4 linked regions of the Danio rerio genome follow. The protein of the gene in region 4 purifies or fractionates together with the protein of the main gene of each other region. This does not show direct contact. Links are inferred from orthologs where the notes say so. Each region holds a gene or a part of one and is shown on either strand. Other genes may lie near its edges. The genes, in order: anapc1, amotl2a, sav1 and lats2.

The links.
Region 1: the proteins of lats2 (region 4) and anapc1 purify together in Homo sapiens (affinity purification with mass spectrometry; 3 studies listed by BioGRID and IntAct, with this or other methods). This does not show direct contact. The link is inferred for Danio rerio from reciprocal best matches to the Homo sapiens genes LATS2 and ANAPC1.
Region 2: the proteins of lats2 (region 4) and amotl2a purify together in Homo sapiens (affinity purification with western blotting; 3 studies listed by BioGRID). This does not show direct contact. The link is inferred for Danio rerio from reciprocal best matches to the Homo sapiens genes LATS2 and AMOTL2.
Region 3: the proteins of lats2 (region 4) and sav1 purify together in Homo sapiens (affinity purification with western blotting; 4 studies listed by BioGRID, with this or other methods). This does not show direct contact. The link is inferred for Danio rerio from reciprocal best matches to the Homo sapiens genes LATS2 and SAV1.

What each region holds. Positions count from the first base shown.
Region 1 is NC_133188.1:50,864,034-50,871,473, reverse strand, and holds the end of anapc1 (anaphase-promoting complex subunit 1), read right to left. Parts: intron 2,394-7,440; coding exon 2,281-2,393; 3' UTR 2,046-2,280; downstream 1-2,045. UniProt on the Homo sapiens protein: Component of the anaphase promoting complex/cyclosome (APC/C), a cell cycle-regulated E3 ubiquitin ligase that controls progression through mitosis and the G1 phase of the cell cycle.
Region 2 is NC_133181.1:30,491,530-30,499,298, reverse strand, and holds part of amotl2a (angiomotin-like 2a), read right to left. Parts: 5' UTR 7,634-7,769; intron 6,976-7,633; exon of another isoform or gene 6,915-6,975; 5' UTR 6,909-6,914; coding exon 6,184-6,908; intron 6,096-6,183; coding exon 5,903-6,095; intron 4,283-5,902; coding exon 4,138-4,282; intron 4,044-4,137; coding exon 3,957-4,043; intron 2,516-3,956; coding exon 2,220-2,515; intron 2,139-2,219; coding exon 1,939-2,138; intron 1,840-1,938; coding exon 1,738-1,839; intron 1,624-1,737; coding exon 1,457-1,623; intron 1,006-1,456; coding exon 826-1,005; intron 527-825; coding exon 456-526; 3' UTR 1-455. UniProt on the Homo sapiens protein: Regulates the translocation of phosphorylated SRC to peripheral cell-matrix adhesion sites. Required for proper architecture of actin filaments.
Region 3 is NC_133188.1:40,259,422-40,267,902, forward strand, and holds the start of sav1 (protein salvador homolog 1), read right to left. Parts: upstream 5,006-8,481; 5' UTR 4,682-5,005; coding exon 4,588-4,681; intron 2,591-4,587; coding exon 2,126-2,590; intron 1-2,125. UniProt on the Homo sapiens protein: Regulator of STK3/MST2 and STK4/MST1 in the Hippo signaling pathway which plays a pivotal role in organ size control and tumor suppression by restricting proliferation and promoting apoptosis.
Region 4 is NC_133184.1:22,911,298-22,919,274, reverse strand, and holds the end of lats2 (serine/threonine-protein kinase LATS2), read right to left. Parts: coding exon 6,588-7,977; intron 6,435-6,587; coding exon 5,852-6,434; intron 5,746-5,851; coding exon 5,563-5,745; intron 5,451-5,562; coding exon 5,344-5,450; intron 5,083-5,343; coding exon 4,552-5,082; 3' UTR 1,306-4,551; downstream 1-1,305. UniProt on the Homo sapiens protein: Negative regulator of YAP1 in the Hippo signaling pathway that plays a pivotal role in organ size control and tumor suppression by restricting proliferation and promoting apoptosis.

The sequences.
Region 1 (7,440 bases), on a different chromosome or scaffold from region 4:
TAGCCTTTTCTCCACTGTATAACTTACACATTATGATTAAAGAGCAACAAATGAATCTCTCGTTTATTTAGATTTTTTAGATTGATTACATTAAATAACAGGTGTCACTTTAAAAATGCACACATCTAACGATATAATGAAGGCATTCGACTGCTTTTTATGCTCATTTAGGACTAAATTAGTTGTTTAAAAAAAAAAAAACACCAAGATCGACATCTTTAGATATTAATATTAAATATGTGTATATGCCTGTTTAAACACGCACCCAAAATCCAGACTTTCGCTCCGCTTCAAATCGCGTGTGCAGAATCCGTTTGGGAAACAGCGTCTATTTATCACTATGGAGCGCGTCAGCTGACAGTCACGCACCGCTATACGACTGTTTTGAAGATTGCATAGGAGGGGGACGGCACCTGTAGTGAAAAGGAAGGGGAATCGCGCCGTTTTTATATGATTTTCAAAGTGTTTTCTTGCCTAAACAAAGTGAAACAACAGAACAGGCTCACATTTAGGAGCAAAGGGCGGCCCTTGGTGGTGTGGCGGTATGGGTTGCTTATAGGGAGGCACGCCTCTTTAATGTTTCTTGCCACTCTTCAGAGAAACAATGAAAATATGGGAGAAATACGGGATAATACCTTTACAGGATGATAGCAAAATAGAACTGTAAAATATGGGAGAATCCGGGGAAAAACGGGAGGGTTTACATGTATGCCTATAGCGCATGTCTTTGGACTTGTAAGGGGAAACCGGAGCACACAGTATGTCTGATAATATTTTTTTCTTCTGGAGAAAATCTTGTTTGTTTTATTTTGGCTAGAATATCAGCAGTTTTACATTTTTTAAAACCATTTTTAGGTCAAAAAGATTTGCCCATTTAAGCTATATATTTATTTGTCTACAGAACAAACCATCATTATACAATAACTTGCCTGATTACCCTAACCTGCCTACTTAACCCAATTAACCTAGTTAAGCCTTTAAATGTCACTTTAAGCTGTATAGAAGTGTCTTAAAAATATCTAGTCAAATATTATTTACTGTCATCATGGTGAAGATAAAACAAATCAGTTATTAGAAATGAGTTATTAAAACTGTTATGTTTAGAAATGTGTTGAAAATATCTTCTCTCCGTTAAACAGTAATTTGAGAAAAAAAATAAGCAGGGTTGCTAATAATTCTGACTTCAACTGTACCTAATAATGAAGAAAAAGCAGCGGACGCAGTATTATTGTGCCTGCTGCAGTCATAGTACAGCAACAAAATTTGATAATGATTACGCTAGAATCAGAGTATAGTTTCTAGACATATCAACCTAGAAAATAGCAACTTTACGTTTTCCATCAGTTTAGTATACGTTGAAACTACAGAAGTCAAGCTTTAAATAGGAAAATTATCAAAACTCCTTGCTAATTTTTGAGCAAGATGCAAATGGTCTAATCCGATTATATGATCTATGCTAAGCTAAGCTAAAAGTGCTCCCACCAGAGCTGAAGATCGGGTGAATGAATCAAAAAAGGATAAAATTGTCCTGAGGAGCTGTAAAATAAGCCTAGTTTCCCTAAAAAAAGTGCAGTGTACCTTTAAGAATGAACATTTTTGCTCAACTTAAAGTGTTTTTGCCTTTTAGCATTATTATGATTTTGCATAATCATTGCATAATCAGTGACAATAATTTCTGTAACAATATATTGCACAACAAAATTATTCATCGTGACTGACTAGCCTGATTTAATCGAACCCCTAAAGATTTGATCAAAATATGATGAATGATAAAGTGCAGATCTCACAAACACACACAAATGCAGTAATGAAGCGCCTGGAAGCCATACAGTACACTTTTTAAGATGAGAATGGCTGATTTCCTGGTGCTTGTCAGAGTGAATTGCTACACAAAGTGACACAATATGAAACCTTTCAGCATTTAAACCTGATCCAATTTAACAGATATTGCATGTGTAAAAAAAGCCCCTAAATTTGGCTGCCACTAAAATTCCCCCTCAAAACTGACAAACCCAAACCACACAAGGTACACTTTATCAAAACCATTTCCTCAAGTCATATTTATTGACTGAATTATCGTAGGTACAAATAGTTACAAGCTATTTACATAGGGGTGAGCAAACCTGTGAGCATCCGATCTCATCGATGTCATAACAACTTCATGCAATAAAAAGTTGATGTAAGATGCTGTAGCAAGTTCCTGTAAGTTGATGGTTTTTGAGGACAGTGATGACCCTGCAGTACCTGCTCGAGGAGATGAAGTGGTCGGAAGGAGTGCGGTTAAACGCCAGAGTCGTGATTTTGCAGGAGTAAAGGACTCAATCGTAGAAGAGCTCGAATGGGAACACCCAACTGACTGCTCTTGAGGAGCAGCTCTGGAAAACTGGAACATCCTAAACACAATGAGCAGAAATATAATGTTATTGCATGTTAACAATGGAGACGATAACCAGCGTTCGAGAAACTGATCTAAATTCATCAATATTGTACCTTGAATCGATGGATCTAGGCTGTTTTTTTAACAGCAGATGGCGCTCTAGGCTAGTTTTTAACAGCAGACAATGCTCGAGGCTAGTTTTTAACAGCAGGCGTCTATCTAGGCTAGTTTTATCAACAGATGGCACTCTAGGCTAATTTTTAACAGCAGACGGCGTCTAGGCTAGTTTTTAACAGCGGATGCCGCTCTAGGCTTGTTTTTAATAGCAGACGGTGCTCTAGGCTAGTTTTAATAGCGGACATCACTCTAGGCTAGTTTAAACCGCAGACGTTGCTCTAGGCTAGTTGTAATAGCAGACAAAGCTTTAGGGCTAGTTTAAACAGCAGACGTCACTCTAGGTTAGTTTTAAACAGCAGACGATGCTCTAGGCTGGTTTTTAACAGCAGACGTCTATCTAGGCTAGTTTTTAACAGCAGACGTCTATCTAGGCTATTTTTATCAACAGAGGGTGCACTAGGGCTACTTTAAACAGCAGACGTTGCTCTAGGTTAGTTTTAATAGCAGACAGCTCTCTAGGCTAGTTTAAACAGCAGACGTCGCTATAGGCTAGTTTTAATAGCGGACGTCGCTCTAGGCTAGTTTAAACAGCAGACGATTACGCTAATTTAACAGCAGATGTCGCTCTAGGCTAGTTTTAATAACAGACGTCGTTCTAGGCTTGTTTTTAATAGCAGACATTGTTCTGGGCTAGTTTTAATAGCGGACATCACTCTAGGCTAGTTTAAACAGCAGATGTTGCTCTAAGCTAGTTTTAATAGCAATATAGGTTAGTTTTTAACAGCAGATGGCAATCTAGGTTTGTTTTACCAAAAGAGATGTGCTCTAGGCAAGTTTTTTTTACCAGCATATGTCATTCTAGGCTTGTTTGCAAGTGCTCTAAGCTAGTTTTTAATAGCAGATAGTGCTCTAGGCTAGTTTATTTTAACAGCAGATAATGCTCTATGCTAGTTTTTAAATGCTCTAAGCTAGTTTTTTTTTAACATCCAATGGCCTCTAGGCTAGTTTTTAATCAGCAGACGGCACTCTTGGCTAGTGTTTAACAGCAAACAGTGCTCGAGGCTAGATTTTAACAACAGATGGTACACGCTAGGCTAGTTTTAACAGCAGACAACACTAGGCTGTTTTTAAATGGCAGATGCTGCTCTAGGCTAGATTTTTTTAAATGGCAGATGACGCTCTAGGCTAGCTTTTAACAGCATATGACGCTCTAAGCTAGTTTTTAAACAGCAGATGATGCTCTAGGCGAGTTTTTAAACAGCAGGTGACGCTCTAGGCTAGTTTTTAAACAGCAGACAACGCTCTAGGCTAGTTTTTTAACAGCAGATGGCGCTCTAGGCTAGTTTTTAAATGGCAGATGACGCTTTAGGCTAGTTTTTAAACAGCAGACAACGCTCTAGGCTAGTTTTTAAACAGCAAACGGCTTCTAGGCTAGTTTTTAAACAGCAGAATGCGCTCTACGCTAGTTTTTAAACAGCAGATGGCGCTCTAGGCTAGTTTTTAAACAGCAGATGACGCTCTAGGCTAGTTTTTAACAACAGAAGACGCTCTAGGCCAGTTTTAACAGCAGATGGCGCTTTAGGCTAGTTTCAAACAGCAGATGATGCTCTAGGCTAGTTTTAAACAGCAGATGGCGCTTTAGGCCAGTTATTAAACAGCAGATGATGCTTTAGGCTAGTTTTTAAAAAGCAGATGACGCTCTAGGCTAGTTTTTAAACAGCAGATGGCGCTCTAGGCTAGTTTTTAAACAGCAGATGGCGCTTTAGGCCAGTTATTAAACAGCAGATGATGCTTTAGGCTAGTTTTTAAAAAGCAGATGACGCTCTAGGCTAGTTTTTAAACAGCAGATGGCGCTCTAGGCTAGTTTTTAAACAGCAGATGGCGCTCTAGGCTAATTTTTAAACAGCAGATGATGCTCTAGGCTAGTTGTTAACAGACGATGTCGCTCTAGGCAAGTTTTTAAAAAGCAGATGACGCTCTAGGCTAGTTGTTAACAGCCGATGGTGCTGTAGTCTAGTTTTTAAACAGCAGATTGCGCTCTAGGCTAGTTTTTAAACAGCAGATGGCGCTCTAGGCTAGTTTTTAAACAGCAGATGATTCTCTACGCTAGTTTTTAACAGACAATGGCGCTCTAGTCAAGTTTTTAAACAGCAGATGATCCTCTAGGCTAGTTGTTAACAGACAATGGCGCTCTAGGCAAGTTTTTAAACAGCAGATGACGCTCTAGACTAGTTGTAAACAGCCGATGTCGCTCTAGGCAAGTTTTTAAACGGCAGATGACGCTCTAGGCTAGTTGTTAACAGCCGATGGTGCTGTAGTCTAGTTTTTAAACAGCAGATTGCGCTCTAGGCTAGTTTTTAAACAGCAGATGGCACTCTAGGCTAGTTTTTAAACAGCAGATGATCCTCTAGGCTAGTTGTTAACAGACGATGTCGCTCTAGGCAAGTTTTTAAAAAGCAGATGACGCTCTAGGCTAGTTGTTAACAGCCGATGGTGCTGTAGTCTAGTTTTTAAACAGCAGATTGCGCTCTAGGCTAGTTTTTAAACAGCAGATGGCGCTCTAGGCTAGTTTTTAAACAGCAGATGATTCTCTACGCTAGTTTTTAACAGACAATGGCGCTCTAGTCAAGTTTTTAAACAGCAGATGATCCTCTAGGCTAGTTGTTAACAGACAATGGCGCTCTAGGCAAGTTTTTAAACAGCAGATGACGCTCTAGACTAGTTGTAAACAGCCGATGTCGCTCTAGGCAAGTTTTTAAACGGCAGATGACGCTCTAGGCTAGTTGTTAACAGCCGATGGTGCTGTAGTCTAGTTTTTAAACAGCAGATTGCGCTCTAGGCTAGTTTTTAAACAGCAGATGGCACTCTAGGCTAGTTTTTAAACAGCAGATGATCCTCTAGGCTAGTTGTTAACAGACAATGGTGCTCTAGGCAAGTTTTTAAACAGCAGATGACGCTCTAGGCTAGTTGTTAACAGCCGATGGCACAGTAGGCTAGTTTTTAACAGCAGATGATGCTATAAGTTGGTATAAGGCGCTCTAGTCTTAAGTGTTCTAGAGGCTAGTGTTTAATCGTACACTCAAATGTGCACATGTGGAAAAGTGCTTGTGCAAGTCATGTAATTTGCATTTTTTGCCTCATGAGAGTAATGTCATTAGAATACTTGTAGTTCACTTAAACCTTTCCTAACTTTTACGTTCATAGTTTAAGTGTAAGGAATAGAATGCTAACAGAGTGCAGTTGTTTGTAAAGCATACATATTTGCTGTTAAAAGCTCAAAATTGAAATATATGGTTGAATTACTTTCAAAGTAAATTATTTAAAGTATTAGTAAAGTGTTTAAAGGAAAAAACGGCAAAATTTTGCAGAGTATAAAACATAATCAGCGTATGCTGGTGTGGTTACTAATACAGTGCTTGTTTTAGTTTTGATGTCAACAAGTCTTTGAAGAGATAAAAGATCAAGAAAGCTTTCTGCGAAATATTTCCCAACATACAGATCAGAAATGATACACAAGTTGCTCCAAAAAAACCACCTGACTTTATTTCTTTTGCAGAAGCAGAAGAGGTAAAAAGGTCAAAATCCTCATGCAACAATATAAAGCCCACAACAACAGAATGTCATTTCGATGAATATGTAAATGTGCTTGTGTATTCGATTTCATTTAAAGTAAAACTGCCTTAAAGGGATAGTTCACCCTAAAATGAAATACACTGACATTTATTCTAAAGAACGTTAGAAACCTGTAACCACTGACTTCCATAGAAAGAAAACAAATGCTATGGGAGTCACTAGTTAGAGGTTTCTTTAGAATATCTTTATTTGTGTGTGTGTTCAACAGAGGGAAGAGCCATTAAGGGAGAGTAAATTTAAATTTTGGGGTGAACTATCCCTTTAAAAGCAGGTTATATGAGTTTTGCACAATATTTTACATTATCTAAAGACATAGGATTGCTTTATATTTTCTTTAGAGCTTCAACGGCTAAGTTTCCACCTGAAGTTGAGAATAAAACTTAAAATATTGCAGAAAATATTAGAGAATACACACTCTTGTAATGCGTAACAATAAACACAATGTGTACAAGACTTGCAATGCAAGCATATGAACATATACTTTAAATAAGTAATGTGCAGTTATACAGTGCATTTATTGCATACAATTTTGTGAGGGGATGTCAGCACACCATCATCATCAATATTTAAAAATGTAAAAATATTATATATGGGTATGTATGTATATACACCTACCAGCCACTTTATTGGGTACACCCGTCTAACTGCTAGTTATTGCAAATTTCTAATCAGCCAATCACATGGCAGCAACTCAATGCATTTAAGTAGACATGGTCAAGACGATCTGCTGCTGTTCAAACCGAGCATCAGAATGTGGAAGAAGGGGATTTAAGTGACTTTAAACGTAGGTAGTAGCATGATTATTGGTGCCAGACCAGCCGGTCTGAGTATTTCAGAAACTGCTCATCTACTGGGATTTCCATGCACAACCATCTCTAGGGTTTACAGAGAATGGCCTGAAGATAAAAAAATCCCGTAAACGGCAGATCTGTGGGAGCAAATGCCTTGTTGACGCCAGAGGTCAGAGGAGAATTGCCAGACTGGTTCCATCTGATAGAAATACATAGGGATGTAACGGTATCAGAATTTCACGGTACGGTAATACCTCGGTATGAATGGCACGGTACGGTATTTATTGAATCATTTACAGGAAAAACAAAAACAATGAAAATACTCCAAAAAAGAGCCAAAAGTGTCAATGACATACAAATTAGCCATCTATCTGCAAGCTTTGAAACAGGAACTTCAATTTTTCAATTTTTATAACAAAAAACTATTAAACCATATTAAAAAAATAAAGTTTCAATTTAGTATTGTTGAAAACTCATCACATTCAACATTTAATCACTCACTCACTTAGATAGAGATGGGTT
Region 2 (7,769 bases), on a different chromosome or scaffold from region 4:
GTTTTTCAAAGGAACGCAAATGCACAAGTTTCACAATAGTGGGATATTTCGTCCTATTACTCCATTCTGCACACTTTACAAACTAAATGTCACACAATCAGCAGCAAAACTCATAAATACAATATAACATAAACATATACAATGTGTTTATAAGCACTTAAGTTTTGTGGTAGCTTTAGAGTAGAGTACTGTCCAAGTACCTCACATTCAGACCATACATCCACAGTCTAGGTTCAGTCACCAGCTGTCAAGGGGAGCTCAGCTCTCCTTCACCAAAGATCCACCATTCATTCTTCTCACATCCTGATGCACAAACTCAAAATCAGCTTCAATGGCGAGTTCCCTATTGAACCAAGCACAGCTTCTCTTGATTAGGTTGGTCCTCAGATGGAGACCCAAGAAGAATCTTCTGTGCCTGAGAGCAGCAGGCAGCAACATGCTGGACATTGTTAATCTCAGATGAGGATCTCCACCATGTCATTTTCGACGGCACTGCTGATCTGGGTTGTCTTGAGAGAGGTTGATTCTGTAATATAATGTAAGACTGTCAGCTTTCTTTGTTCATGCCTGAACAGCAAACAAGGTGGGAAGCTATACAAAACATAAACTATGTTTTGTTTGAGTCCTCTCCCCAACCGCTATTTTGACATAGTGTTTCAAGTTACACTTTAACTACTCTGGTTCAAAAGGGCAAGTATGCACCATCATTATAAAAGTTCTAACCATCAAGGGTTGTCTTTGTCACATGATATGCATAATAGATTTGCCAAGTTATGGGTCTACCAAATAATGTGGGATGAGTGAAAATGGCATGAGCTTACACACCAGAGCTAGAAGCAGTGGAAGGTTCTGGAGCAGATACAGCAACATCAGCAGGTTCTGCTTTACAGCTGGGCTCTTCTGAATCACACTGTGTGCTGCTGTCTCGACACTGGATTTTGGCAAGCAGATGGGGCAATGGGGGCAAAGATGCGACTGCTGTCTGGTCATCTGATAGGCTCTTCCCTGAAATTGCAGATAGAAAAGGAAGCAGTTTAATTACATGTTCCAATATAGGCATGCCGCCATGCAAACATTTGCCATCCAGAAAACTCCCTTTACTATTATTGTGAATCTATTCTTGAGGACAGGAATACCAAAATGCATTCCATTTCACAAGAAGTAGACTATTTCAAGAACACCAGCTAGTCACAGCACTCATTTTATTTTGGTTGGCACATTCCTCCTTGGCGACATTACATAGCCACTAAGAAAAGAAGCTTCCAGTTGTCCAGCTGAAAGTGTATGTCACAGAAGTGCAGCGTTGGCTCACAGTTTTCAGTCTTGCTCTTTAAATACAATCCTAATTAAACACACCTGAACCAGTTAATTCTGGTCCAGATAGGCTGAAGCCAAGCTGTGCAGGACTTCCAGTGGCAGGTCTGTACATCACCTGGCCCGTAACTACTTTGCTCACCTTTGGCTCGGGTGGTGCTAGCTGTGGCAACGGTGTTGATGGAGGGAACAGATCGAGCAGGTCGTAAGCCTTGTAACTCAGGTCGGCCTTGCTCTCGTCTTGACCGCTGCTGCATGACCTTTATAATGGCATCCTTCTCCAAGAGTTGAGCATAAAGTGCCCGAATCCTGTTAAAACATGGACTACTTTGAGATACAAAACATCAAAACTATAGGAAACTAATTTTTCTAGCAAATACAGACTTTCTAGAATAGGATAGAGAATGTAAATGGTGGACATACCGGTTTTCCATCTCCTGATGCCTGTGGTTGGGGGACGGCAAATCCTCATTGAAGCTGCTGTTGGGTGAATTGCGGGGTGAATGGTTGATGATTGTGGTATCCCTGGAAAGAGAATTATGGTTGATGCAAGAGTTGAGCAATAAATTAAAAAGAGTACTATTTTTTGACTATGGCATCTCTTCCACTTGTGCTTTTACTCACCTCTGAGCTGCGGCAGTAGCAGCAGCATCCATGGCAAACTGACGCATTGTGCTCTCCTCAAGATACTTCTGCTCCCAGCGGGTGATGTCAGCCTCCAGGGCCAAAACCTGCTCCTCTCTCTCCCTCAGTTGCTGCTGTAGTGATGATACATTAAGGTCCAAGTATGACCCTGGGCTTGCATGCTGGGTTTTGGCCTGCCACTGAAAGAGAAATAGTGGTTTACTTTTCAATCCCAAATTGTTGATTCTTATTGAACAGAAGTTGTCTGTTTTTTCTTTTACCTGCTGTGCTCTCAAACTCTTCAGCTCCTGCTCCAGTCTGGTCCTAAGTCGTAACTCCAGAGCTTCCCTCTTCTCACATGCTGCCTGCAATTGCGCCAATGCACTCTGCATCCTTTCCACCTTCTCCACATAAGCTCTCTTCCTACGTAACTCTTCTTCCAGCTGCCTATTTCGTGTCTGAGCTGTGATAAGTGCTTGCTCCAAGGCTTCACGACGCCTCTTCCATTCTTCTCCTGAAGCCCTTAGATGCTGTGTCTCTTTTTCCAGACGTTCCCGCTCTCGAAGATGGTCCTCATCTATGGAAAAAAAAAAAGAGACACACAAAATGAGAACCATGTACCATGACAACTTACTACAGTAAAGGTACAAGAACATTCAATGCTATTCAGTCATTATGCTTCTCACACAGGCCACAAAATGAATGACCATGCAGTAGGACTGGGGTGTGCCCATAGCATTCTCTGGGCTGTTCTCTCATTCTAACCAATTCTCAAGGGATAAGCTTCCCACAAGAGTCTGGAACAAAAGAGGCATGCTTGATTTACACACGTCTGTCTGGGTTTGCAGGGGAGTGGCCAAGTTTCCCTGTGTCCTTTGACCTACACTGCAGACTGCTTTAGAATTCCCAGATTACAAAAGCGATTCACTGAATTCCCATTTGGGATGCCAAATTCCTCAAACCCTTTAAGATGACTTGGCACACTGAAAAGGACATACTAAAATCCAACTCATAATTAGACAGGAATCAGTTTTCCATTCTCCTTCTGCTCTGATTATACAACCCAAAACAAATGCCACTGGATGGAATGCAGGCTTCCACTTATCCACTTACACACACAGGCAAGTCTTTGTACCAACTGGATCTCTGGAATGCCTCTGAGCCATGCAGTAAACAAGTAAAGCAAATAGCTGCAAAAGGTCATTAAGCGTAACGTTAACCTACACGTTGTTCTAAGCCTTCAGAGATGCTGAATCATGTCTTTGACGTATCTATGTGTTAGCTCAAAAGGAAATTTTAAACACCTTACAATATCACTGTTTTTTATTCACAAAGCAAAGATATGCCTTGACTCAGACTTTTCTGTTTTTTTGTTTTTAACCCCAGACTGGGGGTAGATTAAAATCATACTTCTTTCCTTGGGGGAACAACAGTCATTTTATTAGAATCCAACCAAATACTGAACAACAACAATCCCTATTAGGATTAGCAAAACAAATCCAGTTTACTCTAACACAGATTGGAATTCTTTAGCATTAATTTGCCCAAAAATGGAGAGACAGCGCACAGGGCACCAGAAAAGGGTCTCTATGGCCTCAGTGGCTGAAATAGTGGGGGAGCTGTTAGGAAGCATTCCAGGAGGACGGAATATCCCAAAATACCTGTAAATATTCCAGGAATCCAGGTCATATTTATTTACAGTGTTAATAATGGTTGCGGGTCAAATTCCAAAAGCAACTATATCAGATGAAGAATATAGAATGTGCTTAACCAGGTACTGGACCCTACATTACATAGACTTTTTAAATACATTTATTTATTTATGTTGCCTAAATACAACAAAGCACTCTGTCAAGAAACATTTCAATGATGAACACATTATTAATTATTAATGGAATGCATCGTTAAGCCAACAATATAAATATGAAAGAATGCAGTGGGAACAGCTGGGATTGTTTCATGGTTGACCGCACATTGGGAGAAGGATAATTTATAGAGAAGCAAAGGGGAATTCTTACTTTGCTCAACCAGTTTGGCGAAGGCATGCCGACTCTTGTCTTCAACTTCAATGGCTGCTCTCTGTTTGTTGGCTGTTTCCAGGCGGTCTAATGAGGGAGTCAACAATTAGTATTTATTGCCTCATACCAAAACATGCAACTCATTTATAAGACAATTACTCAGCTATGCGAACCATCTTACCCCTGAGATCTCTGTTAAAGTCATGAAGTCGCTTGATCTCACTCTCTAGCTTGTTCCTCATGGTTTTCTCAAGGGCTTCTCTCTTTGCAGATCCCTTCATAAGAGTCTCATAGGCCTCCGATATCCTCTGAATCTCCTGTTCAAGCTGAAAGAGAGAAGAAAGGCATGTTAACATCCAATTTATACCCATCAGTTCCTGGTCTCTTTTAACAGGAGATTCACAGGAGGTTGGAAATACTCCTAAGAATATAATTTAGTGTCAAGCAGAAGAACTAACAGGATACAGATTTTCAACAACATGAGGGCAAGTATAAGACACTTTTTCTTTTTCGGCTGGCACAGTAGTGTTTCATAAACCCAAACGTAATAAAACAAGGAGCCGCAAGAGCAAGAATGGAAAAAAATACAAACAAAAATTTGAGATAAAAAGGGAAGGAGGGAAGAATGTGCTTGGCTGGGGCTCTCTGTGGTGCTTGCCCACTAGTGAATCACTCTCACAGAGCTCCTCAGGGACTGGGAATTGAATCAACATTCCAAAAAGAACACTTATGAGTCCCAGGTGTCCGCACATTCATCTCCCTACAGGGCAGGATGCCAAAGGCGAATACAGGGAACAAAGGAAATGTGCAAGCTGGAGGAATACCATTCAGAGAGACTGGAACAGTCCACAATATATGCACCTGTATGACATTTATGACATGGAAAATGGGATGAGAAAGCGATCGTCCAAAAGGAACAAAATTTTCCAAATAAACAAATATGGAAGCTTACAAAACCCCACCACTGATTTATTTTTATAATTTCTTCCCTTTTCTGGATTTTATTTTTAACTTAAAAACTACATATATGCAACCTACATGTGTAGGTTCACAAGCAGGTCAAAAGGTGCCGTGTGGAGCTCTGTTCAAGAGTGAAAGTGAAAGGGGCCATTGAATCAGGGAATCCACAGCTGTGAGACCTTGTGATTGCGCTTTGCAGCCCAGTCCATCAGCTGTGGGCTAGCCAAAGCCCCTTCTTCATTCTCGGACACGAAGATGAGCCAAGACATCTGCTCCTATTGGAATCCCATTGGAATCCTAACAAAGAGGGCCACAGGAAAAACCCAGCGAGGCCCCCTTCCCCTTTAAAGTTGACTGGGATTTCAAATTTGGTAGTTTGTATGATAGTGGCTTAATGTTCATGAATCAGTGTTTTAGGATAGAATATTTTAAGAACATAGTTTTTAATCCAAGCACCATGTATGGACTGAATTCCACTGAAACTCAATCTAGCTTTTGCCACTGAACGACACACAATAGGCCCAATAAACTTTAGCAAAACAAACACCAAGATAAGCTTGTTTTTCCCCCTTGCTCTGCCATAACACTTTGGTATTTCAGTGATGACATTATCACATTACAGAAAAATGCATGGCATTTTAGGCATGGGTAAATTCAGTGTTGTTTCGCATGCTAAATAAGTTACTGGGAATTTTCACTCAGTGACCAAGAATGTGTCCTTTTCAAATTAAATTGAAGTCCTTGTGATCCTCTCCCTTGCATGCATTCCTACACGGCAAGAGAGCTAATCTTCTTAGAATGCAGAGGCTAGAAGACACCAGCGCACAATGATTTCTTGTTCTCACTCTTTGTAGGTCATGTCTGAGTTCACAATCAAAGGACACAGCTGCCTTTTTGCATCCTTGGCAAAATGTGAGGTCATACCAAAAACATCACAGTTCTAGAAGGTTGCAAGGAAGTTGCAATCACACAAAGAATCCTGTTACCTTCTGTAACCTTGCCGCCTTCTCACTGTAGCTGTCCACTTCTCTTTTCAGTCTTTCGTTCTCTTTAATAAGCTGCTCCATTTGGAAGTTGTTCGCTGGGATGCTGTATCCTCCAACATTGACATCCTGGCCAGCAGGGGTCAATGTGGGCAGGCCATTGTGACGAGGTGCTTGTGGCTGTGTTGGAAATAGCCTGAGAGAGACAAAAATAAACATTAGAACACCCATGATGTTCATATAGAGTGTACAGTATATACAATGCGACCAAAATATAATTTTACCTGTAATGCTGTGAATGGAAGGCAGGAGGGGGCTCATTATAATAGTGTCCATGTTCCTGTGAATGACTAAGCATATATCCAGGGGATCTGACCATGAAGGGGTACTCCGGGGGAGGACCCCGTTGGTCTGGCTGATGAACTGACTGCTCATTCACAACTGAATCAGAGTGGTTATTAGAGAGTTGGGGATAACTATGCGATGAGCTCATGGGAATATTGTCATGGGCACAATTTCTCTCTAGTGAGAGTTGCAAAAGACGCTCACTTAGTGAGCGTGCATGCTCTCGTTTCGCATCCCACATGCTGTCGTCCTGTTCGGCTCCTCCAACCCCTCCAGGGCTCTCCAGACTGCCGTGATGAAGCCCTATCTGTCCTCTCTGGTAGGCAAGATACTGTGAGTGTGCCTTTGCTTCCTCATAAGTAGGCAGCTCCTCTGTGTGGAGCTGATAAAGGTGACAAACAGGACTCTCTGAATGCTGGAAGTCACCCTGGTGCTCTTGGCCCTGGGGCTCTTGCCGGGCGGACAACTGGGGAGAAAGTGATTCCTCTTGTGTTAGGCTTTCCAAGGATGAACGAGGGCTTCCTGCACCTCCACCGCTGCTGCCTCCACGCAGAGCCTGCTGCTGGATGGCTAACAGAGTAGGATCGGTAGGGTTTCCATAACGAAGCTGCTCTTGAATCAGTCGGTGCAGCACCGTTCCTGATGATTCCTCTGCCGTTCTCATTTCAGTCTATGTTTAACAGACAGCAATCAGTGATACTGTGTTATGAAAGATCTTCTAGACTGTGAACCTGCATAAAAAAATAAATATTTCAAATGCAAATCCTTTCTATTGTTCAGCTATATTGAAACACTCTCTAACAACAAACCAGTGAGTGGTGCCTCACTCCACATGCTTCTAGGCTGACTGCCTTTACCCATAGCAACACCACGTTCACCCAAAATACCAATGGCACCATCCTACAACACCCACTATGAGCTGGGTTTCTGCTCAAGTTTATACTATTGATTAGCATAGGAAGCAATGGAAAATTCAGTTAGAATCCAACAACTTTCCAAAGTTGCACAAATTATTTCCTGCTACAAACTACAAATTCCTATCCAGTGTATCATATTTGTTTTACAACCACAACTGTAGTAAAACATTCGAACATACCAAAGAAGCATGAAAACAAGATTTGAAATAAACGTTTAGTTCCTCATTCTATTAGTGTACTTTAAAGAATGTACAACTAAAGTATTATAAATTCTTCCAGAACAAATGCACCAAAACAAAGTTGGCTTCTGCCTATAAACAAAGCCCTTCCATGCACACACTGCAGTTTATTTAATGAGTAAACGTTTAGCCACAATAACAAACCCATCGCTCTTATAGAAAACTAAGCAATGTGCCATATAAAGAGTTCGTTTACAACAACAAGCTGCGTTAGAAGTCTTTAAAAAACTCACCGAGTCACAGTGGCATCACGAATAAAAGTTACAATGCTTTTCCGTACTCGTCTCTATGTTTAAAGATATAATCCTTCTGGAAATGTGTTGAGTACGACTTATATTTCCATGCGTATGTTCGTGCGTGCGCGCCTGG
Region 3 (8,481 bases), on a different chromosome or scaffold from region 4:
CCACGCAAACAAAGGGAGAACAAGTCCACACAAAAATGCCACGACAATCATGCCAACCACTGCACCACTGTGACACCCTAACATAATATATGCAGGTAAATATTGTTTTTTCTTTTAATTTTGATTAAACTTTACATGATTTCAAATTATATTTATTAAAATATTTTTGATCTAATTTATTAACCAGTAAGCTTTCTCTCACAGTCTCATGTTCAAACAAAGAATAAAGATTTAATATTATTAAGTATAGAGTATGACTATTAGGTGTATATATGACCTTACACAAATTGTGAAGATTTTGTTAAAAGAAAAGCAGACATCATTGGCAGGCATGCACGCATCCTCTCATTAGTAAACAAACAGTGCGTCAGCTCATGTGCGATTTCGCAGCCACAAATTTGTCATTACAAGATGACAAATGACATTTTTGGGTGAAATATACCTTATAAATACTGTATGTGACAATTTTAACACCATTTGGAGGTGTCAATGTTGCTGAGCAATGTATATACAACAATGTGAAGACTTGTGCGACCACTTTTATACTTCTGTCCTGACCATGAAAATATGATTGGCTAAATTGTAAAAAAGCTTAATTAAGATCGGGTGTAGGGTCGAATAAAGATCTATCAATAGAGAGCTATCTTTTTTGGTTAATTGTGCAGCTCTAACTCCTATTGTATTTGTTCCCCCAATTTGTTGCTGACATTCTCTCAAATATCTTCCTTTATGTGGATTCTTGCACTGGCAAACCATTTTGGCTTTATAAGACATCAACGTATTGTCAGAAGCCACAGTTATTATTTTGTTGAACCTGTATATGGTTTGTTTGACTCCCAAAATGCTGGTAGCCACTGAATTGCATTTTATGAATTACTAAAAGCACAAATGTTTCAAAAACAAATCTTCATTAACATTTTCCTGAAGAAAAGAAGTAATCTGATCAAATGTCATCTTATTATGTTATTTAAAAAAAAACAAGAGAATGCAATATATTTAACAGAAACAATCTCTAAACTTTTACATTCAGTTGAAGTCAGAATTATTAGCCCCTCTTTGAATTTTCTTTACTTTTTAAATATTTTCCAAATTATGTTTAACAGAGCAAGGACATTTTGAAAATATGTTTGATAATATTTTTTCTTCTGGAGGAAGTCTTATTTGCTTTATTTCGGCAAGAATAAAAGCAGTTTTTAATTTTTAAAAAGCCATTTTGAGGGTCAAAATTATTAGCCCCTTGAAGCAATTTTTTTTGATAGTCTAAAGAACAAACCATTGTTATACAATAACTTGCCTAATTACTCTAACCTGCCTAATTAACCTAGTTAAGCCTTTAAATATAACTTTAAGCTGTATAGAAGTGTCCTGAAAAATATCTAGTAAAATATTATTTATAGTCATCATGGCAGAAATAAAATAAATCAATTATTAGAAATTAGTTATTAAAACTATTGTGTTTAGAAATGTGTTGAAAACATCTCTGCGTTAAACAGAAATTGGGGAAAAAAATAAACAGGGGGCTAATAATTCAGGGGGCTAATAATTCTGACTTGAACTGTATATTCATTCATTCATTCATTCATTTTCCATCATCTTAGTCCCTTATTTATCAGGGGTCACCTGAGCGGAATGAACCACCAACTTTTCTGGCATATATTTTACGCAGCGGATTTCCTTTCAACTGCAACTTGGGAAACACCCATACACACTCACATTTACACACCGATTGGACTTCGGGGGAAACTGGAGCACGTGGAGGAAACCCACGCAAACACAAGGAGAACATGCAAACTCTACACAGAAATGCCAACTGGCCCAGCTAGGATTCAAACCAGCAACCTTCTTGCTGTGAGGTGACAGTGTTTCCACTGAGCCACCAATTTTACATAAAATCCCTCTTTTTTTATATTATTCGGCTGAAAAAGAAAGTGAATCTATGTTCAGTCAGAGGAACCTGAAGAATCTCATCCAGTAAACAGCAAATGTTCTCGTAAACACAGCAAACGTCAGTGTATTTATAGTAAAGAGTGACAATCATGTTTGTTACTCCATGCAGAGTCTATTATAATGCGTGCAAGTCTGTGCATGTGATGTGTAAATGCACACCAGTTCAAAAGTAACTCACCAGGTGGAGGGCGGCTGTGTGGCTGAGGCGTCTGGGGCTGTCCTGGGTTTCGTGGGAAGTTGAGTTCATTGTGGTCATAGTATCTGTAGTTCTCATTAAAGTGGTCTGGTCTGCGTGCTCGTCTGGGTTGGTTATTGTAGTATGGTTCTGGAGGATAGTAATACGGGCCGTTGTCTCCGTTCTCTGTTACAGAACTGGCATCGCTGATGTAGGATGGTGAGGAAGGGGAGTAATCACGATGAAGATGTGGCGGGGCAGACAGACGGTGACTCTCTCTGCGTGAAACCTCTAGCGGGGTCCGTGGAGGAGCATTGCGCAGGAAACTCTTAGGGCCGCTAACATCTCCAACAGATCCAGTGGTGTACGGACCGGGACCGGGACCAGGCACACCAGCCGAAACCGGCTCCACTAATGGAGGTTCGCGTCGAAGGAACGTTGGATGGCGGATAAATGAGGGCATCAAATCTGAGAACAAACAATGGGGGGAAACCTGGAGTAAGTGGATCAATGCATACTTTAAGGGATAGTTCACTCTAAAATAAAACATCTGTCATTATTACTCATCATTTGTCCAATCCCATATGAAAATCTTTGTTTTCCTGAACACAAATCAGGCCTGTAGCCAAGGGGGGTTTGGGTGGTTCAAAAGACAAACCTGCTACTGACAAAGTCCAAAATTTGACCCCCAAATGAGCTAATTTATCCCATTTTCACTGCTATGTTATCATAAATTGTGAAAATTATACACAGAAGAAGTCTTTAAGACTTAAATAATTTTAATAAAGTATTTATTTTAATAAAGTATTTATTTGCCCACAGGCTATAGTTTTTATTTTAAAACAAGTTTTACCAGATTCCTATTTTTTTAATGATGGATGATAATAAATTTGTATGTTAAACACTAATCTCATAACACTATTTATAAAACTGGATTAACTTACAATTTATATCCAAGCTTGTAAATAAACACTTCGTAGTAAAATACTATGGTGGGCACTTTGGACAAAATTGTAGTAAATATTTTTTTGTGCATCAAAATAGTGTGGTTATGATTACCATCCATCAAGCTGATCCAGCAAAGATTAGTTCTTAAAAAGTCACTAAAACGCATAATTGAATAGAAAATGAGGAAAATAACTGCAAAAAAGGTCAAATTTTCATTAAAAAGTACCACTCGTTTCAATAGGCTGGCGACAGGTCTGCAAATGAATGTATTTGGAAGAATGTCAGTAACTAAACAGATCTCGTAGCATATTTACACCCATTATGTTTACTTTTCCAATTTTTTCCTGACATTCTTTTAAATATCTTCCTTTGTGTGGATTAAAAACATTTAAATAATGTTCAGTTTCTTGCACTAGGAGATTATTTCAGCTTCATACAGTAAGATATCAGTGTATCGTCAGAAGCCAAAGGTATTAATTTTATTTTGTCTGTATATTGTTTTTTTTATTTTTTTATTCTCAAAGTGATGGTGGACCTTTTATTAGCATTTTATGATTTTCAGCTAAAAATCTTCTTTAATGTTTTCCTGAAGAAATAAAGTCTACTTAAAGATCATCAAGTGGCCTGAGAGTAACATAAAAGCTATACCTTTAAATTTCCGATATAGGTTTATAATATTACACTAAAAATGTCTAGAATAAGATACTAAACAAACATACAAGACAATTTTTAAGCATATAGATTTTCTAAACTACAATTATTTTCCATGTCTTCTAAACATCACTTTAAACACATTTCAAGATAAAACATAAAATTGAAGATAGTCTGATTTCTACAAAACACATTTGTTAACATCTTGCTGTTTTGATTACTGACTGATGAATTAGTCTCTCTTTTGATGCCATTCAATTATGCCGTTTTGACAATTTGATCCGAAATTTGGCAACAAATACAATGACAGTATTACCATATTGAACAATTATGTTTAATAATATACTGTGTTACTGCTGTGTGAAGATTTCCGAAATTTCAGTCAGTTTAAAAATAATTATTAGCAAAATATTAAGGTGTTCTTTAAAGAATAATTTTCTTAAACTGGGTAACGTTAAAGCAACAACATTCTACTTCTGGACCTTTGTATTTAAAGTAAATAAAAAGATATGACATTTTAAACTAATGACAACATATGCTAGTGGTAAGTGAAAATGGTTTTAGATTAAAGTATTAAATATGAGCAATGCCACATTATCTTTTGATTAATTCAAAACGTATAAACAGGACTATAATAATACAGGTCTATTAGGTTGATAGTTGTGACTGTACACATTGTGCTGGCTAATTGTTAAAGAGAATTATGTTACTTATTGAAAGCCTTATGCACTTAAAATTGTGTTTTACTCTCAGGGTTCTGATTTCAAACACGGTGTAATGACTACATTATATAACAATGTAGGATATTTAGTTTGCCATTTTTATATTTTGGGGATTTGTTTGGCAGATTGACTAAAATTACTCACTTCTCAGAAGAGGGGACGTTTCTTTCTTCACATATTTGCCCTGAACTTCGGGTGGTTTGGACGCTTCGTTTTTACTCTTCTTTCTGGAGAGCATTGTTAATCCGAATCGACTCTGGACCGATTAGACTTCGGTTTCATCCTGAAATCCGGATCCAGGTTGGCACTGACACGCGAAACCGAGTCCATTTCGGAGCGTTTAGCCCGATAGCTAATTTGGAGTCATCATGGCTACAGTCTGAAAACAAGCACAAAACTGGCCATTCGTTTGCGTTTAGTGGACGTTTGGCAGTTTTCGGTGTTTAGTCGAACATTACGAACTCTTTCCGACGATTAAATAACGTTAGTCTCCCCCGAGCGCTGTCCAAACAACACCCAGAGAAAAGCGCACGAAAACTTTTACCAGCTGAATGTCCAACCCAACCCAGCCCTCCACATCTCCTGCTGATCCCTGATCAGCTCTTACTGGATCTCGCGCCGCAGCCTGATCTCAGGTCAGTTGTTTAGACCCGAGCCTCACTTCAGATCAGCATACTTTATAGTCGGATTCAGTAATGTTTATTAGTCACTCTAAAAGAGTCCACATATTTCAATAATACCAGTTTACCCGCGCCCATAAGTGTCTTTAACCGCCTGATCCTAGATCAACTCTCTCTGGATCGCTCCCTCACCTTACCCTGATCCTAGATCAGATCTGCCGCAAGCCAGATCCTCAGGGAGCAAAGCATTGTGGGAAATATTTGACTCGAACTTTTTTTCTAGCACATATTTAAGGTTTACAGGACAGATATGCGATGGTTTATTTAACATGTAAGGTTAATTTGAAGGATAAAAGTGCTGCGTTGTCAGATAAATGTACAAAATAGGACCTAAAACCCCACAAATGAATGAATTTTCTTTTTTGAACAAACATTTTTTGAGAAACCTTCAGAGAAATCAAGTGACCCCATGGCCAAGCCCAGTGTCTCTGTATTTACCATTTACGTGTTTGAGTAAAACACACTATTTGTTTATTTTGGAACCTGATTACTTTTTATTTTTAAATTTAAAATGTTATTTATAATGGGCTTCACGGTGGCTCAGTGGTTAGCTTTGTCGCCTCACAGTAAAAAGGTTGCTGGTTTGAGCTCTGGGCCAGTTGGCATTTCTGTGTGGAGTTTGTATGTTCTCCCCGTGTTGGCGTGGGTTACCTCCAGGTGCTCCGGTTTCCCTCACCGTCCAAAAACATGCGGTACAGGTGAATTGAATAATGGCTGTAGTGTATCAGTGTAAATGTGAGTGTATGGGTGTTTCCAAGAGCTGATTTGCGGCTGGAAGGGCATCCGCTGCGTAACATTTGCTGGATAAGTTGGCGGTTCATTCTGCTGTGGCAAACCTTGATAATTAAAAGGACTAAGCAGAAGTAAAGGGAATAAATATAATTTAGAGAATTTTTAAATATATATATTTTAAATATTCATTTTTAAATACCAAAGTTTTAATCTCAAAACATATTTGATAGAATAACTCTGATTTTAATTAACAGCAAATTAACACATTTGTAATACTGGCAAAGTAATTTTTAGTTGATTTACATTTTTACGTTATCAAATAGGCCTACACAAATAAATATTTATTTATTTTAACTTTGGAATAAATGTCAAATGTATCTTACAGAATAAAATATTAGCATTTTACTCAAACACAAACTAATAAATCCTAACATATATATTTTTAAAAGATCTCTATATATTTATATAGGCAGCACGGTGTTGCAGTGGGTAGCACAATCGCCTCAGCAAGAAAGTCGGTGGTTTGAATCCTGGCTAGGTCAGTTGGCTTTTCTGTGTAGAGTTTGCATGTTGTCCCTGTGTTTGCGTGGGTTTCCTCTGGGTGCTCCGGTTTCCCCCACAAGTCCAAAGACATGGTACAGGTGAATTGGGTAAGCTGTACTGTTCGTAGTGAATGGGTGTGTATGGATGTTTCCCAGTGATGGGTTGCAGCAGGAAGGGCATCCACTGCGCAAAACATATGCAGAATAAGTTGGCAGTTCATTCCGCTGTGGCGACCCCAGATTAATAAAGGGACTAAGCCGAAAAGAAAACGAATGAATGAATGAATATATATATTTATATAAACATAAAACAATGCTAGAGAAATTAGTAATTTAGTAAACACATGTTCACATAAATAAAGAAGCAACTCAGAAGTATCATGCACTTTTAGTGTTTAATTGGTGCTTTTTTCAAAAGAGTAACTTGGTAACACTTTATAATAACGGTCCATTAGTTAATATATTTACTGTAATTAGGTATGAATAATCTTGTACAGCATTTATTAAGCACATTAACTAATACATTAATAAAATCCAACGTGGTGCTTGTTAACATTAGTTAGTTAACATGAACTAACGTTATTTAATTTGTAAAACATTAATTGACCAAGATGAATAAATACAGTAATAAATGTATTGAATTGTTTGTTCATGTTAGTAAATACATTGACTAACAAATGGACCTTTATTTTAAAGTGTTACCAATGAATTCTAAAATGAAAACTCATGTACGGTGCTTACTAAAACTATTCTTTAATGAAGATAAAAACAATTATGCTTCAACATTCAAATGTCATACAATCAACACTTAAAACAATACATCATTTACATGACAAATACTGTAAAGCATATATAGTTTAAGCTTCACCAAAGGCTTTGTTACAATGCTAAAAATGTAAGGACAACATATTTCAGTGCAATTTCGACATTTTTAAATGCCTGTAATTCTTTGTACATTTTCCCCTCCAAGCATCAAAGCTGGTAAACTGCACTCGCTGAGAGACGCCTGAAATGAAACATCATAACCAGCAATTTTCCTCTCCGCACACAAATTATACAGCGGTAACCATGAGGCTGACGTCTCCGATCTCAAGGTTTCTTTTACTCCGCATAAATATTTGAATACACCCGCTATTATTCATATTCACAGTGCTCATCACACACGATTATGGTTCAAATATGAAAAATAGGAACACAAAGATCTCCTGCACTTAAAGTCATGTCATGGGATGTTTTCTGGTGCAGATTCTCAAGCGAAAAAACATTTATATTGACTAAACAAGCCCAAAGACAGAATGCACTATAACAAACAGGAATAAACAGTGAATAAACAGTGTGGCACTTGCCCTTTAATTTCCTTCTCTGAGAAGCAGGGAATCACTGACCTTGTTTGCATTACATTGAAAACTATGTGGCGATAGGCATGTGTGTGTGTGAGAGAGAGAATGCTGGGGCCTCAGCTGTTGGACAAGCCTCTCTGGGTTTAAGGAATTTCACCATCACTTAAGATGACCTTCCAACTGCAAACTGAAGTCCAGAAACAACGGAAATATTATTAAAGTTGCCATCAAATTAAAATGAACCATTCGCAACCATCCTTTTTTAATGAAACATTGCAGTATTTTTGTAATGACAACAAATTGGGAATTAAAAATTGGATTTCAGCAACAGCAAACCAACAAGCCAATCCATTTTTCTTGTTGGAAAAGCTCTTTTCATTAACATACAGACAACATTCATTCCATGCCAACTTCAAAAGTACTATAAAAGCAAACATTGTTCAGTCAGAAATAAAAAACGAATGGGAAAATCTCAGGAACACAAATTTCAATCTGTTCATTACACAAAGCTTTTATATGGCTTCAAAGACTTTGTAAATACCATATAGTGCACAGTTCATTTAAATACATGCATTTTTGGAGCTTAACAACACCCTGGTCACCGAATTCTTGTGTTTTATAAAGAGCAGATTGGACATTCTTATAAATATGTCCTTCAGATGAACATTAGGATGACCTAATCATGTGCAGTCATATTTACACATTAGTATTTCACAGGTGAAATCCACTCATTCTAATAGGAAT
Region 4 (7,977 bases):
CTTTCAATAGGCTGGCTACGGGCCTGTATACAGAGTTCATTTTCATAAATGTGTTTCATTCTTGGTGTTATCTGTAACTTTTGGAAGTCATAATTTAAGTCATAATTCAACATAGTTTTAGCATTACTAAAACGGGGATCTTATTTAATAACAAATCTGACTGTAGACATGTTACTCACTATTTTGATCATTGTCACTCGTATAAGACATAAATACAATCTTTAAAATACATAATAATAATAAAAGGTTATAATCAGATTCCAAAACTGTATTACTCACTGTATTAAACCATCTGTGAATGTGTAAAGAAGAATGTACTTAGTATATACTCACCGGCCACTTTATTAAGTACACCATAGTACCAGGTTGGACTCCCTTTTACCTTCAGAACTGCCTTAATCCTTCATGGCATAAATTTAACAAGGTACTGGAAATATTCCTCAGATATTTTGGTCCATATTGACATGATATTGACATTTGTCGGCTGCTCATCCAGGATGCTAATCTCCTTTTTCAACACATCCCAAAGGTGCTCTATTGGATTGAGTTCTGTTGACTGTGGAGGCCAGTCAAGAAACCAGTCTGAGATGATTCACGCTTTATAACATGCTCAATTGGTACTAATGGGCCCAAAGTGTGCCAAGAAAATATCCCCCACACCATTACACCACCACCACCAGCCATTGATACAAGATGGATCCATGCTTTTATGTTGTTGATGCAAAATTCTGACCCAACCATCTGAATGTCGCAGCAGAAATCAAGACTTACCAAACCAGGCAACGTTTCTCAAATCTTCTATTGTCTAATTTTGGTGAGCCTGTGCCAATTATAGCCTCAGTTTCCTGTTCTTAGCTGACAAGGGAGTCGCCCGGTGTGGTCTTCTGCTGCTATAGCCCGTTTGCCTCAAGGGTGGACATGTTGTGCATTAAGAGATGCTCTTTTGTGTACCTCAGTTGTAACTAGTGGTTATTTGAGTTACTGTTGCCATTCTCCTCTGACCTACACTGAGTGCCCGCCATGTGATTGGCTGATTAGAAATTTGTGTTACAAGCAGTTGGAAAGGTGTACCTAATAAAGGGGCCAGTGAGTGTGCATGCACATGCGCTCTTCAATCTGAAAAAGGTATATTTTTTGTGAAAAGGTTAATGGTGGAAATAAATGGTTTAATTAAAAAATGCTCTTGTGTGTGTCTCATCAGCTAAAAATATCTTGGGTGTGTCCCAAACACATCTACACACAAACAGACAGAGACGTGCACACGCTCACCCGCATGCACACACTCACACACACAGACTCAAAACAAGAGAATGATTTGTTTAATTTAATTTAGACATATACATTTACACATGAAGACAGCAAAAGCATTTCTTAAACATTCTCAATTCATACATATGTGTAAAAAAATGAGATAAATCCAAATGCATACTGTCTGTAATACTGTAGACACAAGGGTTCAAAAGTTAGCTCAGAAAAGAGGAAAAATAAGGATAAAAGAATACAAAAAATATGTATATCTGTATAAATATGTTCAATAGTAACAGTATTGTATAATACAGTTAAAGGTTACGTCAAAAAGTCCCAACCCATTCATTCCTTAAAATACAAAAACATACATTAGAGGAAAAAAGTTCCATCATCACACAGCTCCAAACACAGTCAAAGATTGTCAGTCAACATTTTCAAAAGTAAAACAAAGAATCCATCCTCAGCACAACACACGCATTACATTCAAACCCTAAACCTGACTCTGTGAGAGATTCGTAGAAAGCTCATGCCTTTTCACTGAGTGGTCCAATCTGACAAATACAGGGAAGCAAAGCATCTGCAACACTTGCTGTCACACTCCATTCTACTCTGATTGAACCAAAAACATGATGACAATTTAGGTACAAGTCTGAATTGAATATATTTTTAGGAATTTATGTGACTTTTAGGAGTGAGCAATATATAAAAGCGGATCATCACTGGCTGTTACTTTAAAACTCATCCAGTCAGACGTCATACAGGGTAGTTTGACTGACTTCAATCAAGCTTCACTACAAATGATTAAACATTATTATATGGACTTATTAGGGATCCTTATCACTGACCAATCACATACAATGTGTTTCCATATCCACCATGCTACGACATCCAAATACATCTCCTTCAGAGTCTCAATGACAATCATTCACTCTTTTTTTCGTCTTTCTCCAGCTATCATCCAAATGCCGCCTCTTACGTTCAGGACCGGCCTGAGTGCAAGAAATGACGGCATTTCCATTCTTTCCAGAAATACTGATCAGCACGTGGTAAACACACCCACACATTCATTAGAAGGCACACAGTTCGTCTTACATCGGATCAATCACACTGACAATCAAAACCACACTTTTTACACAAAGAGAAAGTATAATTGAAAGGTTGATGATAATATAGTGTAATATTAATAACAATAAGCAGCATTGGGTCATGAAACTATATTGAAAATAGATATAAATCAATAGAATATATACTTTTAGATAGCATAATTCAGTTTTGAAGTTATAAAGGCTATTTGTTGTATTTAGAAAACTATATAATGTATTTCTGTATTGCACATAGTTATACCATCAGATACATTTTTCTTTTGTAACTATCTTTCACCATTTTCGTTAAAGTTTTTGCCTCAAAGTATTTTTTACATTTCAGTCATAGACTGTCTTGTTGTAATACTGTGCTGTGTGAGCAGCCTTGATGACAAAACATCTTGCAATTGTTTGATTACATTTGTGAGTGTGTGTGTGTGTATAATAAAATAAGTTCACTGATAGTGACAGACAAGATCATTTCCAGTGGATCTGGATAAGCAAGAACACACACAACAAAACCACCCGTCTGACTTTTAAGATCTTCTTATGAAACTAAATGCAATTAAGATGAGGTGGGAAATATGATACATTTTCTGAGATAAAAAAACAGAGTTACTTGTGATGAAAGGCGTATAATCTTTTTGCATAACTAGAAAAGGATATAGCTGTAGCCTCAGCTCTTGGAGTTAATTTATATAATTTGTTCCGGATAGCCAACTGCAGCGGTCTGAGAAAACACACTTCAAAACAAAACGATGTGTCTTGCAAGTGTTAGATACACACGCAAGCAGCTGATGAATGTAAGCAGCTATTGGGAACGAAATCATTAAGCCTTAAAACAATGAAACTATTTAAATCAAGCCAGGCAAGGTAAATGCTTGTTGAATTTAAATACCACCTGAATGAAACAGCAACTGATATAACACAACTAAGCAAAAATAACTAATTTTAAAACTGCAATGCAACTGGTAAGCAAACATTAAGCAGGATTTAGGCCTTTTAATATTCACAATTTAAGAGTGTTAATTACCTCTTACATTTTCATATTGTGAATGATATTTTCATATCATATCCGTTTTTTTGTGGCATTATGTATTTAATGACTATACTTATGCTTAGCCTCAGCTCTCAAGTAACAGGCGGTTGTTTAGACAATTGAAGTATGTTTTAAAAACCTTTAATAATTGTAATAATGGGAGTTTTAAGATCCCATGTCCATGAAGTGCTGCCTGTACATCAAAACATTTTATTTTAATATTGTGTCATGACTGAGAGCACCGTTAGGCATGAAACATAAATGAAGGATAACTGTATTATATTTACAAAAGACTATTTTATTAATTAATTAATAATTTATTGTCATTATTAATTATTAACTGCAAAATCCTGCATGGTCTTTTGGACAGACTTTGCATGAAGAAGTGACCTAATACTGTCAGTCCATAATATAGGACTTACATCTTCGAAAAGAAGACACTTGACAATGTCACTCTGAACCACTTGGTGGCGCCACAAAATCCTCTAAAACAAAGTTTGCTCGCTTTAAAAAAAGACTGAGATCATATAATTCCAAATCTGGCTTCAATACCGCAGAAAAAAATAGGTTTTACAGCACATTTATGGATTTATAGCTATAAAATTCAGTTTGGTATTATGAACTTTTAAAAATAAACCACAGAGCTACCATCCCAAGCCAAGCACTCTTGTAATCCTTCACCATAAACTCTCGGGTGTTTGGAATGTTAGCATCACCAGGTTGAGAGAGGTGAGGGATGTGTTAACATATGACGTAAGACTGGGACTCTTTCTCCCAGTGGAATAAAAGAATAGGACACGGTTGACACACAACACACTAACCATGAGTAGAGTGGTTTAAACGTCAAACCACAGACCAACAGCTACACATCTCTGTTTTTGTGCTCTCATAGAAGAGTATCAGTCACATCAACGTCCATATGCAGCTGCAGGTCTTGTGTATTTCCTTGGTCCCAGGTCAGAGCTTCAGTCATTTTTAAATGATACTGCATAATGGTTTATGGGAATAAACACATTTTACTTGGAACTTTCTGCACTAAATTTCTGATGTTCTTCCAAGCATTTCAGGCAACACCCTGAAGAAAAAATAGTGTTGAAAGGAAGTAGAGAAGATGCAGCGTGTTAACTGGTGAGGTCCTCCATGGGTAAAGGCAGAGCAGCATGAACAACCAATCCAACGTTTTCACACATAAACCGGCTCACACCCTTCCCCTTGCTCTTCCTCTTCATGGGCCTCTTCCTCCTCCAGCTCAGGCTTCAGGCTGCCGGCCCCGTCACTGCTGGACAGGCTTTGTGTCGCCTCTAGGGGTTTGGGATAACGGAATGGACAACCATTATCATCAAAAAATCTTCGGAAAGTAAACTCATAGAAGGCATGTTCAGGGTGTTTGCCGTGAGGAGAACAGAGGGTGTCCCAAGTGCGGGTGCTATCCCCACTATCACTCCAGGCGCCTGGGCCTCCCTCCTCTTCAACAGGATCAAAGTTGGATGTATCCATGGGGTGGGCAATTTTTGGTCGATATGGTGCAGGTTGTGTCCGAAGATTGCTGGAGAAATCCACCTCGGAAAAAAAAGGATGAGCCTTTATTTCTCCAGCCCCATTGCCTCCTAGACGCTCTTCAGCAGAGCAGCAAAGCTGGCCAATAATATCGACTGCCTCTGGGCTTAGTTTTACTTGTGGTGGCACTTGCAAAGTGTTCTCCCAGTTTATCACCTGTAGAGGTAGTGACATCAACAAAAGTTTATTTCTTGTCATCAAAACTCTTAACCTCAAATATTATAAAATATTATTTAAAGAAAACAAAGATGTGCAGTCCTTTTTCCTGCATGGGCACTGTCTTGCCTAATTGAATCACCTATTCAAGTTTTCAGGATTACTAGAAATTTCCAAGTATGTTGGGGTTGGTTGGAACTCTGTATGATACTTGCCCTCCAGGAGCAGGATCAACTAAAAACATGCATACAGAACTCTTACCTTAAGCTGCGTCTCTGTTGGGGTTGGAGCAAGAAAGGGTGGTTGGCCAACCAGCATCTCAAACAGGATCACTCCCACACTCCACCAGTCGCACAGCTGTGTGTATCCTGTGTATTAAAATTAATTAAAAGGAGCAATTAAAAAGAAAAAGGTTCTATAGGCACTAGCAATTCTTTGTAATGTCCTTGTACTTCCGAGTGACTATGTGAATATTCTTACCTTTGCGCAAAAGCACCTCAGGGGCAATGTAGTTAGGGGTGCCCACCAAAGAATGCGCCAGGCAGCGCTGGTGTTGTCGAGTTGCTCTCTGTTCCAAAGTCATCAGCCGGTCACCACAACGGCAATTAGACACATCATCCCAAAAGTCACTTGGCTCCATGCTATCCTGTCGGATATGGTTCCCTATTCAAGCAGTGCAAAGAGAGAAGGCAACCAATTCATTGGATTTAATAAACACTGCAACAGCATTAAGGACTTTTTAAAGGCTATAAGCATCACCTTCTCTTACCTTTTTGGTAATACTTTGAGTTGTGAGTCCATCGGAACCCCGTACATAGACCAAAATCAGTCAGTTTGATGTGTCCATCCAGGTCAATGAGGATATTGTCTGGCTTGATATCTCTGTGGATGAAACCCATCTTATGCACACTCTCAATTGCCAGTGTCAGTTCTGCCACATAAAACCTGGCTAAGACCTCTGGAAAAACTCCCATACGGATCAGCAAGCTCATCATATCTCCTCCAGGAATGTAATCCATGACAAAATACAGATTGTCTCGGTCTTGAAATGAATAGTACAACCTGACTACCCACTCATTGTCAGCCTCTGCTAAAATGTCCCGTTCAGCTTTAACATGGGCTACTTGATTTCGGTTAAGAACGTCTTTCTTTCGCAAAGTCTTCATTGCATACAAGGCTCCTGTGTCTACTTTTCGGGTTAGACACACCTCACCAAAGGCCCCAATGCCGAGTGTCTTGATTTTGACAAACATTGATTTGTCCATCTTGGCACGTCGTAGTCGATTGTAATTGGATTCCTTCTGGTAAAGCATCTTTCTCATCTGTTCCTGCTCAGCCTCTGAAAGGCCAGCCTAAAATAATGAAAGAGATTGTTAGAGGGGACTCAGTTGAAAACAAACAAAAAATATACCCTTTTATGGATAACTCAAAGAGTTAACAACTCAATTATACAAATTATAAAGTAAACGGTGTTCTTTGTGATAAACAGTTCCAGCATAGCTTACCTTGGACATCTCTTGCTCCAGCTGCATTCTGCGATTAAGTTTCTGCTGGTATGTCTTCATCACATTCTCCACATGTTGCTCCATGTAGAACTTAAAGGCAAATGGAGAATAACTCTTAATACGAGACTCCCTCTTCTCTTCATCACGGGCATTTTTTCGTACAGGCACAGGTGATGTCTGGATCTGCTTCTTATCCTTCACAGCCTTTTCTCCTTTGCCCATTTTCACTTTGTCTTTGAAGATGGATTCCTCCTGCTTTCCTACCGAGGAACTCTGGATAGTCCTACCTGTGGCACTGACATCTTGAAGTCCACTCATGGCTACAGGCTCTAAGGATGCAGGCTCAGGTCCAGATCCAGACACAAGCAGTGTTTTGGGGTAAGGTGGAGGTGGGCATCGATGTTCTTGACTGGGTTCCAGGGTAAAATTCTCATCTGGGATGTATCCAAGAGAATCCTGTGCTTCCGGGGATTGTGCACTCAGCCACCCTGGATGGCATGGTCCCACTGCTGTCTTCGGCTCAGGCCTCATGACCCGTATACTCTTAACAGGTGGCTGAATTGGTGGAGAGGTCACTGCAGTTATTGTGTTAGGTGGGCCCAAAGATGACTCTGGCTTCCCAGCAACACTAGCTGTTGGGGGCAATGTCTGCCTCACAGTCACCTTTTGGTGGTTGTTGAAAGAATTGGTCCGACTGGGGACGCGTACCTCCCCTCTGAAGGGCCCTTGTGGCTGCCTGGCTGGAGGAGTCCCCTCAGGACCTTGAGCTCCTGGCCAGTGATGCTCATACAGGTCAAGATTTAAACTGGCCCTGGAAGGGGTGAGAAGGCCTTGAGGAACATCAGAGAACTCCCCACCCATAGCTCCAGGGGCAACACCTGGGGGGCGCTGCATCATGTGAACCTGGTGTGAGGTGGGGCTAGCTTGGCGTGGATGTGAATGTGGTGGCAGATATAAGTTGGGAGCATAGCCACCAGCATTTTGGCCCATTGCTGCTTTGCTTGGCATATTGACATAATTTTCTGTAGTTAGTTGGGGCATCTTATTCTGAAAGGAAGCACTTCTTTTGACCCCGTAGCTGGAATTCTCCATCATATGCGACCTGTAGTCATAATGTGCTCCAGGCCCTCCTGAGGGCTGAGACTGGATTTGCATGGGTGGTCCAGACACACTGTACCCCATCATGGCCTGGTCAATCCCACTAGGGTATCCTTTTTGCTGGGCTGGACCAGGGGTGTACATTGGATTCCCAGTATTATTTTGAGGAGCCATGTTTGTGGAGTAAGCACCCATACTTGCAGGGCGTCCCATCGGGTTTCCCATGGTAGCACCCTGTGAAGGGTTGGCAGGCGGTGGCATGTAGTTCATGACAGGTGGTCCACCCATGTAT